2 linked regions of the Macaca mulatta genome follow. The protein of the gene in region 1 purifies or fractionates together with the protein of each later gene. This does not show direct contact. Links are inferred from orthologs where the notes say so. Each region holds a gene or a part of one and is shown in the gene's direction. Other genes may lie near its edges.

Evidence for each region.
Region 2: the proteins of NKX2-1 (region 1) and FOXA1 purify together in Homo sapiens (affinity purification with western blotting; 3 studies listed by BioGRID and IntAct, with this or other methods). This does not show direct contact. The link is inferred for Macaca mulatta from reciprocal best matches to the Homo sapiens genes NKX2-1 and FOXA1.

What each region holds. Positions count from the first base shown.
Region 1 is NC_133412.1:109,634,720-109,640,099, reverse strand, and holds the start of NKX2-1 (homeobox protein Nkx-2.1), read left to right. Parts: upstream 1-2,256; 5' UTR 2,257-2,729; intron 2,730-2,996; 5' UTR 2,997-3,153; coding exon 3,154-3,230; intron 3,231-3,601; coding exon of another isoform or gene 3,602-3,615; exon of another isoform or gene 3,616-3,813; intron 3,814-3,910; coding exon 3,911-4,296; intron 4,297-5,258; coding exon 5,259-5,380. Other genes in the region: uncharacterized protein LOC144330237, read right to left, coding at 341-1,004, 3,602-3,615. UniProt on the Homo sapiens protein: Transcription factor that binds and activates the promoter of thyroid specific genes such as thyroglobulin, thyroperoxidase, and thyrotropin receptor. Crucial in the maintenance of the thyroid differentiation phenotype.
Region 2 is NC_133412.1:110,733,350-110,738,685, reverse strand, and holds the start of FOXA1 (hepatocyte nuclear factor 3-alpha), read left to right. Parts: upstream 1-2,109; 5' UTR 2,110-2,560; coding exon 2,561-2,632; intron 2,633-5,014; coding exon 5,015-5,336. UniProt on the Homo sapiens protein: Transcription factor that is involved in embryonic development, establishment of tissue-specific gene expression and regulation of gene expression in differentiated tissues.

The sequences.
Region 1 (5,380 bases):
CCACGCTGGTGTAAGCAAAGGCTGATGGCGATTCCGCGCATCTAGGGCCGATCCTGGCCCTGCGCCCCCTCAGATTCCCGGTCGAGCCGCAGCCAGCGAAGCAGAGCGTGGTCGGAATTGAGGCAGCGACAGTGTGAGGCTGCGCCAGGGAAAGCTCCGCGAGGGGCCAGTGTTGGGCCCTGCCCTGACCTGCTCCCCACTGTGCCCACTCCACCCCGGAGCAAGTTAGTTGCGGGATAAAGGAAGACGCGCAGACTTCGCGAAGTGGAATCGGGGTTATTCGTATTCATGGAAAAAAAAAATCACTGGTTAGCCGGGGTCTGCCCTATTTAGCATGAGTCTAGGAGGCGGCGGAAAGAAAGGACGCTCTTCGGTCAAAAGGAGGTGTTTTGGGCCATGGGAGGGACTCTCGAGGTCTTTGCTTGGATAAGCTCGGAGATACAGATATCCTTCTCTTCCCCACAGGTGCCTTAGTCTCCGGGCTTATTTTTGGCAGTGCAGAGGTACTGGTGAAGAAGGCAGAGCCGCGCGTTGAGAAGGTTAGGGTAGGAGAGGTGCTGAAGCCTGGGCGGCAGGGCGCTGCAAAGGCCCAGGCGAGGTGGAGACGAGAGCTTGCTGGTGCGCGCGAGAAGCACCCCTGCAGGCAGAGGTTGAAGCGCCGTTCCAGTTGGTCCCAGAGTGAAGCGGGAATCTTTGCCCGCCCCAGCCACTTCGAGCTCCGCTCCAGTTCAGCTCCCAGATTCGCCACCTGGCTCCAGTTCAGCTCCCAGACTCGCCACCTGCTGCGCGGTTCTTGGGGAGGGGGTTCCTTGTCCAGAACGGGGAGGGGGGTTTCCTCGAGAACTGCAGGCCCGGTTGCCCCGGGACTCTCAGAGCCGGAGGCCAGGGAGCTGCCAGCCACGTGCGCCTGTGGCCTGCTGAGAGGTTGAAAAGCTGCCGAGGGACGAAGACCCAGGGGCTGTGGAAGATTCACCCAACTCTTCCTTTTACTCAGGTCTGGGGACCTAAAGAGGGGATGGGGATCGTCATGATAATAACTACCGCATCTTCAGTGCTGGCACTGAGCTGAAAAACATTTAAAGCTTTCAAAGCACTTTGATGTGCTCTATCTTACTTGAATCTCACAAAAACATTGTGAAGATTGATCTCCATTTCTAAATGGTGTTGAGACTGGGAGAGATGTACAACATTCTACACTTGGTGTTTCTTAAACTTACCAACAACTATGAAATAATGGCGAGTCAGAGAAAGAAGCTGGGTGACAGGGAAACCCACCCCGCCTTCGAAATCAGACCCCATTCGGGACGCAGGCCCGGCCAGGTCGTGCCTGCAGACAAGGTCTGTATTCAGCGTTGCCAGTTCTCCTCTGTGGTTCGCTTAAGCCCGGCGTCGCCTCCCCTCCTTGCTTAGCCACCACAGTAATCAATGCTCAGTTCGTCCGGTCCTGAGAGCGCCCCCCAGAGAAGCCCCTGGGAAGGAAGGGCAAGGAGCGGGGCTTCGCGCTGGTCTTTCGCAACACAAGCGGCGAGCGCATCTCCCTGCGCAAACGTAGAGTGGCCTCCCCAGCACTGCCGTGGGGACCGCACAAAAACGCGGGCGCAGGTGGGAGGGCGGAGGGTGCCCTGAGCTTTCTTTAGCCTGGTAAAGAAGGTAGGCTGTGAGAAAAGCCAATGTTAGTATAGACGTTGGCTTTGTATTGAGGGAGTAAGAGCACTCTTCAAGGACAGGGCTGAAATCTTTAAAAACAAATAAAACTTTCTCTACTATAATTGCTATTAATAATTTTAAAAAGGGAGCCTGGATGAATTAAGTAGCTCAAAACTGCCTGTTCATCATCATCAGGAGCTCCCTCTCTACAAGGAGGGGAAAGAAAATGTGAAAACAAAAACTAAATTCGAGAAGCTCCTTGACCAGCGCGGTTGTCTTGCAGGTACCCGCCAGGCCCGGCCGAGGAGCGCTCTGCCCTCCCAGCCCCCGGCGCGCAGAGGAGGCTAAAACAACCAAAAAGAAAGCAAAACAAAAACAATAATAAAAACGTTTAAAATCCACGGAAAAAAACCGGAGTCGGTCTCAAAATCCGCGCCGTTCAGGGCTCCACTCGGTAGTCGACTCGGCTGCAGGCCCCGGCCTGGTCCGAACAACGCGGGGGACACCCCCGACTCCGCTGGGGATCGCAGCCCACAGCTCCCCCTCGCCAGGCGCCCAAGGACCCTCAAGGCGCGGGGCCCACACTTGAAGCCTGGGAACGCGCAGACAGGAAACCCACTTCCTCCTAAGCAGTTTCTTGCTCGTCGGATGAGAGGCGCCCAATTGAAGCAGAATGATCCTCATCTACTAATATCCAGCGTGGCCACAAAGCGACTGGCCATTTACGCCACCACTTTAAACAAAGATATTTGGTTATTCCCGGGAAGCAAGTGCACTTTTGCATGGCTGAGCTGCGGGCGGAGGCGAGCCTCAGCCCAGCCTCCCGCCCGCTGAGCTTCCCGCACCTCGGCATTCGCCCCCTCCTGGCCAGCGCTCCCGCCGCCGGGGTTCAGGCTCAGTTCCGCCCGGCAACAGACTGGCGGGCACTCACTCCGCTCCCTGCCCGCGCCCTCCCTGAAGCATCGGAGGGGAAAACAGCGTGGCTCTGGGCTCGGGTGCTGGGGCTGTGATGTCCTCGGAAAGTCAGCTTCAGCCCCAGAACCCCGCGTGTCTGGGAGATGGGCGAGGGTCAGGGACACCAGGTTTGTTCGAGGTGGGGCAACTTCAGTGACGGACCCTCCCGTGAGACCCCTTCCCATCATCCCAGCTCGGGGGGCCAGTGCTGTGTTTGCTCGGCCGGGGGTGGGGGTGGGGAAAGACCTGGGGGGAGGCGTGTTGGTGGGGGTGGCCCACTGAAAAACCACTGAGCTGCGGGGGCGGGTGGTGGCTCGGGGATCCGGGACAGCCTCCGGGAGGCAGTCGATCCCCTACTCAGCGCCCCCTCCGCCCGCTCGGATTCTCTCGGGTAGGGGGAAAGGGGGCGGGGAGCAGAGGTGTCCCTCTGACGGCGGCAGAAGAGAGGCAGACAGACTGACAGACACGTAGACCAACAGTGCGGCCCCAGGGTTCGTCCCCAGACTCGCTCGCTCATTTGTTGGCGACTGGGGCTCAGCGCAGCGAAGCCCGATGTGGTCCGGAGGCTGTGGGAAGGCGCGGGGCTGGGAGGCCGCGGCGGGAGGGAGGAGCAGCCCCGGCAGGCTCAGGTGAAACCCCCACCCCGTCCCTCGGCCCTCTTCTCCTAAAGACCTGTTCATGTCCGGGGAACCCCGACCGAATTGGAAAGTGGTTCCACTTTGTAACTCAGCAAGTTGGTTGCAAAGCAGCATTCACCTTCCTTCCTCCCAACCATCTCTCCTCCTCGGTTACTCCCCCACCCCACCTCCTGCCCTCCCCGCTCTCGGTTCCCTCCTCCTTCCCCACCCCTCCACCTCCTCCCCGCGCTCCGCTGGTACCCCACAAAAAATGGGGGTGGGGGTGTCCAAGGGAGGGGGGAATGCTTTGGGTCTCGTCTCTGCCTCTCTCTCTCTCTTTTGAGACCTAAAAATCCTGACAAGTGAAACTTAAAGGTGTTTACCTTGTCATCAGCATGTAAGCTAATTATCTCGGGCAAGATGTAGGCTTCTATTGTCTTGTTGCTTTAGCGCTTACGCCCCGCCTCTGGTGGCTGCCTAAAACCTGGCGCCGGGCTAAAACAAACGCGAGGCAGCCCCCGAGCCTCCACTCAAGCCAATTAAGGAGGACTCGGTCCACTCCGTTACGTGTACCTCCAACAAGATCGGCGTTAAGGTAACACCAGAATATTTGGCAAAGGGAGAAAAAAAAAGCAGCGAGGCTTCGCCTTCCCCCTCTCCCTTTTTTTTCCTCCTCTTCCTTCCTCCTCCAGCCGCCGCCGAATCATGTCGATGAGTCCAAAGCACACGACTCCGTTCTCAGTGTCTGACATCTTGAGTCCCCTGGAGGAAAGCTACAAGAAAGTGGGCATGGAGGGCGGCGGCCTGGGGGCTCCGCTGGCGGCGTACAGGCAGGGCCAGGCGGCACCGCCGGCCGCGGCCATGCAGCAGCACGCCGTGGGGCACCACGGCGCCGTCACCGCCGCCTACCACATGACGGCGGCGGGGGTGCCCCAGCTCTCGCACTCCGCCGTGGGGGGCTACTGCAACGGCAACCTGGGCAACATGAGCGAGCTGCCGCCGTACCAGGACACCATGAGGAACAGCGCCTCTGGCCCCGGATGGTACGGCGCCAACCCAGACCCGCGCTTCCCCGCCAGTAAGTGAGGCCGCCCCACTGCGGGGCCGCGGGCTGAGCTCAGGAGATGAGGCGAGAGCCGTCCAGAAGGCGCGGCGCCGGCAGGCTGCGCGCTGGGCATCAGGGAGGGCGGCCCGGCAGCGGCGCCAGGGACTTGGGTGCGGGAGCTGGGGATGCTTCACGCTGCTTGGCTGGGGATCCAAGAGCAGGCACTTGGTAGCGCTGGGGTCCTGCGGTCAGATGCGGGTACTCGGCGTTTCCTAGGCGCGGTGGACTGGCAGTTCTGTTCCGCGCAGAAGACCTCGGGGAGCCGAGGGAAGCGACCCCGAGCTCAAGGAGCAGGGGCGAGCAGAGCGCGGAGAGGCTAGGCCCGGCCAGGAGGGAGGCTGCCCTGTTGGGAGGCACTCGAGCGCCCGTCCCGGCCCTCTCTCCAGCGGAGTCTGGGCAGGTGGGAGGACTCGCAGTTCCAGAGGGGACTCTAAGGGGCCGAGCAGGTGCCCTCACTGAGGCCGACAGGAGAGAAGCCAAGAGGCAAAGCGTCTGGGGGCTCCAGCTTTTGGAAGTCAACACCCCCTTTCCTAACCTCTCCAAATTGGGGTCTACCGTCGGACCCCAGCTCCCTGCCTGAGCCCAGTTCGCCGCCTGTGGCCAGCTAATCCCATTGCTCTGACCTGGGCTGGGCACGAAAGGAGCAGAAGCGGCCTTTCCCCCAATGCGTCTTTTGGTTCGAAAGAGGGAACTGAGACTGAGGGAGGGCAACCAGGGTTGAGGCTGTGAGCGCTCTAGTGCAGCCCTCGACGGCACGGCCTGGGGCAGGCGCTGGCAGTTCCCCGCGGATGGGCCTCTTGGGGCCCAGCGCTAGGCTGCCTGGGTCAGGAGGGCGCCGTCGGGTTGGGGCGGGCCGGGCGGGCCAATGGCGCGGAAAACAGGGGTGGCCTGGCTCGGCCTGGCCCCGGCCGACGCTGTGCGTTTGTCGCTTACAGTCTCCCGCTTCATGGGCCCGGCGAGCGGCATGAACATGAGCGGCATGGGCGGCCTGGGCTCGCTGGGGGACGTGAGCAAGAACATGGCCCCGCTGCCAAGCGCGCCGCGCAGGAAGCGCCGA
Region 2 (5,336 bases), about 1.1 Mb from region 1:
AAATATGAGACTTAGCAGGTTTGGGAAGTGGGCTAAAAGAATATTTAATATTGTAATTGATCCCCCATTTAAGGTGACAGTGTTTTCCCCCTGCTTAAAGCACCAGCTTTTTTGTGCACTATAAAAGCTATTACTATCTATAAATTGTTACTCTCGGTAGAAAATACCCTAGTCTTGCTCCGTGTTATTGGAGAGCCGAGAGGGTATTGGAGAATCACCTCCAGAAGGAACAAGGAAGCTCATTAGCACTGAAAGTCCCCCGGATCAGGCCGAGGAAGCTGAGCATCCGTGTACTTTACAAATGGAACTAAAGTCAGCTACTGATGGGAACTTTGCAAAAAAGAATTAGTTTCTGACACACAATTCGCAGATACATTTACACAAACTGATGGGACAACTTGCAGTCACAGGAGAAGGCTGCATTAGGGAGGGTTCCTGCCCTCCTGAGGTCCAGGTGGATTTAATTTCATTCATTCCTTTCCTTATGTGACGTTTCTATCCCCCACCCTTTTTGTAAAAAAAAAAAAAAAAAAGTAATCCAATGCTTTTATCTTTTTTATTTCCTTAACTGCACATCTTCACCCTCTCTGCTCCCCTGCTGACTTAAGAGATTTGTTTGGTTCAGGGATTTAAAGTGATTCGCTTGCCAGATTTCAAGTAGAAGAGATTGAAAAGAACAAAGCACAGGGAAAAAGGTATCTGTTTGGAAAACAAGTTAAAACATATTTCTTAAAATGAGATTAATAACATTTTAAAAACTTTGCAAAACAAGAAGATTTTGCGGATTCTTAATTACTTTAGATTTTATTTTATTGTTACTTAAGGAAACCTAGTGGTTCTACAGGCAGTACAACAAACCCATGGTCACAGGACACTCAGAAACAAACACACTCAGTCACACGTGCTCAGAAATACACAAACGGTCACACAGTCAGAAACACACTCACCATCTCCCAATCTATCACCAACTCATTGCCTATCACCCAGTCACTTCAGTATTCTCTCTCCTAGGACAAGTGGGCAATCCACCACCCAGGGCCTCAGGAGAGTAAAGAGACTTTGCGTTGGGGAGACTCTCCCACCGACGTCCAGGACCGATTAGGAACCAAGTGAGCCCCTGAGATCTCAGCCCGGACCCTCCGGGTCACAGGACCAAGCGCCGCTGCGGGCAGTCTCGGGCTTCTGCCTGGCACCTCTTTCGCAGTGCACACGCGTTCCCGCGCCCAGGCCCTTGCTCTCCCAGCTAACGCGCGTGTTATGGGAGATGTCCCCTCCCCCTGACCTTTTCCTATCAGAAACCAGACGGTCGTCTCCAGCTCAGTCCCTGAAGCTGCTGAAGGGGGGCGGGAGGAGGAGCCCGGCAGAGGGAGGACGGCCCGACTTGGGTCTGCCTGCCCTATCACACAGACATCTGCTCTCAGTTGCTTCCTCTTTATGGTCGCTACAGATGACAGGAGAGAGGAGCGGAACGAGGCGGAAAAAAAAAAGTTATGTCATAAAGATATAAACCGGTGCTGTGACTCACCTGCTCTTAGCCGCAGGTACGAGTTTCGTGGCAGCGCCTCCGCTCTGCTAGCCGGGAGCCCGGGTCGGCCTAACGTCACTTGGCTCGGCTGACTCAGATGACCCGGTTTCTAGTGACGAAGCAAAAGTGGGGCTTTTTCCCTTTTCTAGTCGTAAGCTCAGGAGGAAAGAAAGAAAGAAAAAAAAGTCTGTATTCTCCAGTCTCCTGGGGTTGAACTTTGGGTCAGGAATCAGGAGGGAGGGGGCAAGGAGAGCAGGAGGGGCGCGAGACTGGGCCGCAGCCCGCGCTCAGAAGGTGGCAAGTACCTCTGGGGAGGGACCCCGGGGTCACTTAGCCCACAAAGTCTCTAAGCCCAGTCTCCGACGCCACCGCCCCCAGCCTTCTCTGGCTATGAGGTTCCCATCTAGACCCCTAGCCCGCCCGCCTGGCCCCGCCTATTTTTTCTTTTTCCAAAGGGTGTTACACCCCCTCCCACCCCACTTCCCTCTTTCCCTAGCCTCCGGGCCTAAACCAATTACACTGCTTTGCAAACAAAGTGAGGGCCGCGCTTGGGGGAGGGGTTGCGGGGGAGGGGGGGCGCGCAGCGGTGGCGCGGCGGGGCGGGAGGCGCGGCGGCCGGACTGGCGGGCGGCCGCCTTGCAGGTGCACCTCGGGCTTTGTAGGTGCGAGCGTCTTTGTGCGGCGGACAAATGGGGAGAGGACGAGGAGGTGGGCACTCGAGCGACGTAAGATCCACATCAGCTCAACTGCACTCGCCTCGCAGAGGCCGCCCGCTCACTTCCCGCGGAGGCGCTCCCCGGCGCCGCGCTCCGCGGCAGCCGCCTGCCCCCGGCGCTGCCCCCGCCTGCAGCGCCGCCGCCGCCTCGCAAGCCGCGCCCCGCAGCTCTGGGCTTCCTCTTCGCCGGGGTGGCGTTGGGCCCGCGCGGGCGCTCGGGTGACTGCAGCTACTCGGTTCCCCTCCCCCGCCCCGCGCCGCGCGGCCGCCCGTCGCTTCGCACAGGGCTGGATGGTTGTATTGGGCAGGGTGGCTCCAGGATGTTAGGGACTGTGAAGATGGAAGGGCATGAGACCAGCGACTGGAACAGCTACTACGCGGACACGCAGGAGGTGAGAGGCGAGACGAGGCGGGCGGCCGGCGGGGCGTCGCTGGAGCCCGTGCCGGGGGAGGCCGGGGAACGGTGGGCGCCGGGCAGGGCGGACAGTCGGGCCGGGGGCGCCTCCTCGGTGCCACCGCTGCCCGCCCGCCGGTGTGGTCCCGGCCGGGCCTTGGCCGGGCCTGGAAGCGGGACCTGCTGCCCTGCTCTGTCCCGACTCTAGCAGCCGGAGAGGGAGTTTTAGGAAACTCCGGGCTTTGAAAACAGCGGCCCTGGGAAGCACTTGCCTCTTCCCAGCAGCGAGCGGGAGCAGGAGCCGGGCCCGGGGTGCCGCGGGCGGGCGAACGCTGGCGCGAGTTGGAAGCAACTCTGAGAAAGCCGGAGCATACCCGCAAGGCGACCTCTTCGTCCCGCCGTTTAATCCGCAGACGTCTTCTGATTAAAGCGCTCTGCCGCCAAGTTGGGTGTCTCAATAATGAAACGATTTCTAAATTTTGTAAAACTTGTTCTTCAAAAGCCCTATGTGGGGAGAAGTGTGCGCCTTCTCTAAAACCGCTGGGTGGCGCTAGTGCGACCAGAATCTTCTTCAGAACTCCGGGCCGAGAACCTGTTTCTCTTCATTGTCCCCTTGGTGGCACGTTCATGGGGGTTATTTTTACAATGTGCACAAAAGGATTACAGGGAAAACCAGGTACAGGGAGGACTAGCACCTATTAAAAGTATTTTTCTGGAAACAGCTGGCTATTACCCCCCAAAAGTTTAATTACCATTATTGAAAACGCGTATTGGAACTGCCTTGGATAATCTTGGGAAGAGGGAAAGAAAATAAAGCCCCAAAGTAAAAAAAGAATTTTAAGACGTGGACAGAAAAATATAGAATCACGTAATATTTTGATGGTAACTAACTTATTTAGATTTGTATATTCACAAGTTTACCTCTGAGTTTATTTGCATACCATAGTTTACTGGGTGTTCCTATTTAAATCTATTTGTTCTCATGTTTTCAAACTGAGTCATACTTGCTGATGAAAATAAACTTAAGGACATCATTATTCCTTATTAAATTATCAGTGGAGTGCTTTTTAATATGCCTAGGTTCTGTATGTTTAAAATACTGTACCGAATGCATTCCCACATTGCTATTGATAAGGATTTTCGCTTGCTGATGATTTTTAAAGCAGCTCAGAGGTCTTCCAGAGATTTAATTCTGACGCAGTCATCTCGACCCTACCATTCAACTGAGACCCCTAGCGAAAGTACTTTCTAACATATTAAAGCTGAGAATTAGGAAATACAATAGCATAAGAGAAAATAGGTAGAATTTTATTTTTGAATTTTAAATTATTCAAGACTACTCACGGAATTTCAAAGCCGGGCATTGAAATCATCAGCAGCAACATCAGTATGTGGGAAAAAAAAGATTTATTTTGACAAACTGTGTCACCAGTATTTTTAAATAGGGGACGGTGAAGTGGTGACAAAATTAATGCGAGTTTCTAAATAGCTTGCAGAGGTGTACATGCAAAGTCACGTTAAAATAAAATGCATATAGCACATTGAGATTATTATGGCACCCCCTCCCAGCCCGTTCTGTTATGGATGTACTTTTAGTTTGATTTTTCCAAAACTTATTTAACTTCTGAGTTTGCTTCCCTTTTTAACATTACAGTTGCTACAAGCAGGTAGAAAACAGTACTTCTAAATACAATAAAAAACAAAAAGTCACCATAAGCAAAAACTCCTAGGACAATAAAGCCACTTGTTGGGAAATAAATGATTCAGGGGGTCCCATGTCCATAGGTGATTTGCTCTATCAGGGAGTTTCATTAACAGTCAGCTATAACAACCGAAACCGCTGTGCGGTCAGCCAGGCCTGCAGACTCAGGCGAGGAGGGCACAGAGCTGGTGCCCTGTGGCCCGCTCCGTGGGCCTGTGACGCGGAACCCATTGCACCCTTAGGGTGAAGTGAATAAGCAGAGGGTCAGAGATTAATTCTATTTTCGGAGTTTTAAAGACATTTCCCCCCAAAGAGCGCTTTGCCGAGGCTGGCTGGGGTGGAGACTTGGAGACCGCCTAGCGTGGATGGAGGAGGCGATGAGGGGGCCCTGGAAGCCAGCCCCTGAGCCTGGCGTGTAAGGCGATTACACATCTTCCTGGGGACATATTTTCTGTGAGCGCTTATCTTTCATGCCTGTCGCGCTAGGATTTTCCCCCGACCGTGCAAGACATCTTTGCTCGGTCTGGGGAGGGCGCTTAGCCGTTTGCCCTGGGTGGGGGTGTCCCGTGTTCTGCAGAAGTGCTCTGCACTTGCCCCCGGATTAACTCCCGGCCGGCCGCCCTCCGGTGCCCACCACTAACCCCGCCCTCCGGGGCTTCTTCGCTGTCTCTGCTCCAGGCCTATTCCTCCGTCCCGGTCAGCAACATGAACTCAGGCCTGGGCTCCATGAACTCCATGAACACCTACATGACCATGAACACCATGACCACGAGCGGCAACATGACCCCGGCGTCCTTCAACATGTCCTATGCCAACCCGGGCCTAGGGGCCGGCCTGAGTCCCGGCGCCGTAGCCGGCATGCCCGGGGGCTCGGCGGGCGCCATGAACAGCATGACTGCGGCCGGCGTGACGGCCATGGGTACGGCGCTGAGCCCGGGCGGTATGGGCGCCATGGGCGCGCAGCAGGCGGCCTCCATGAATGGCCTGGGCCCCTACGCGG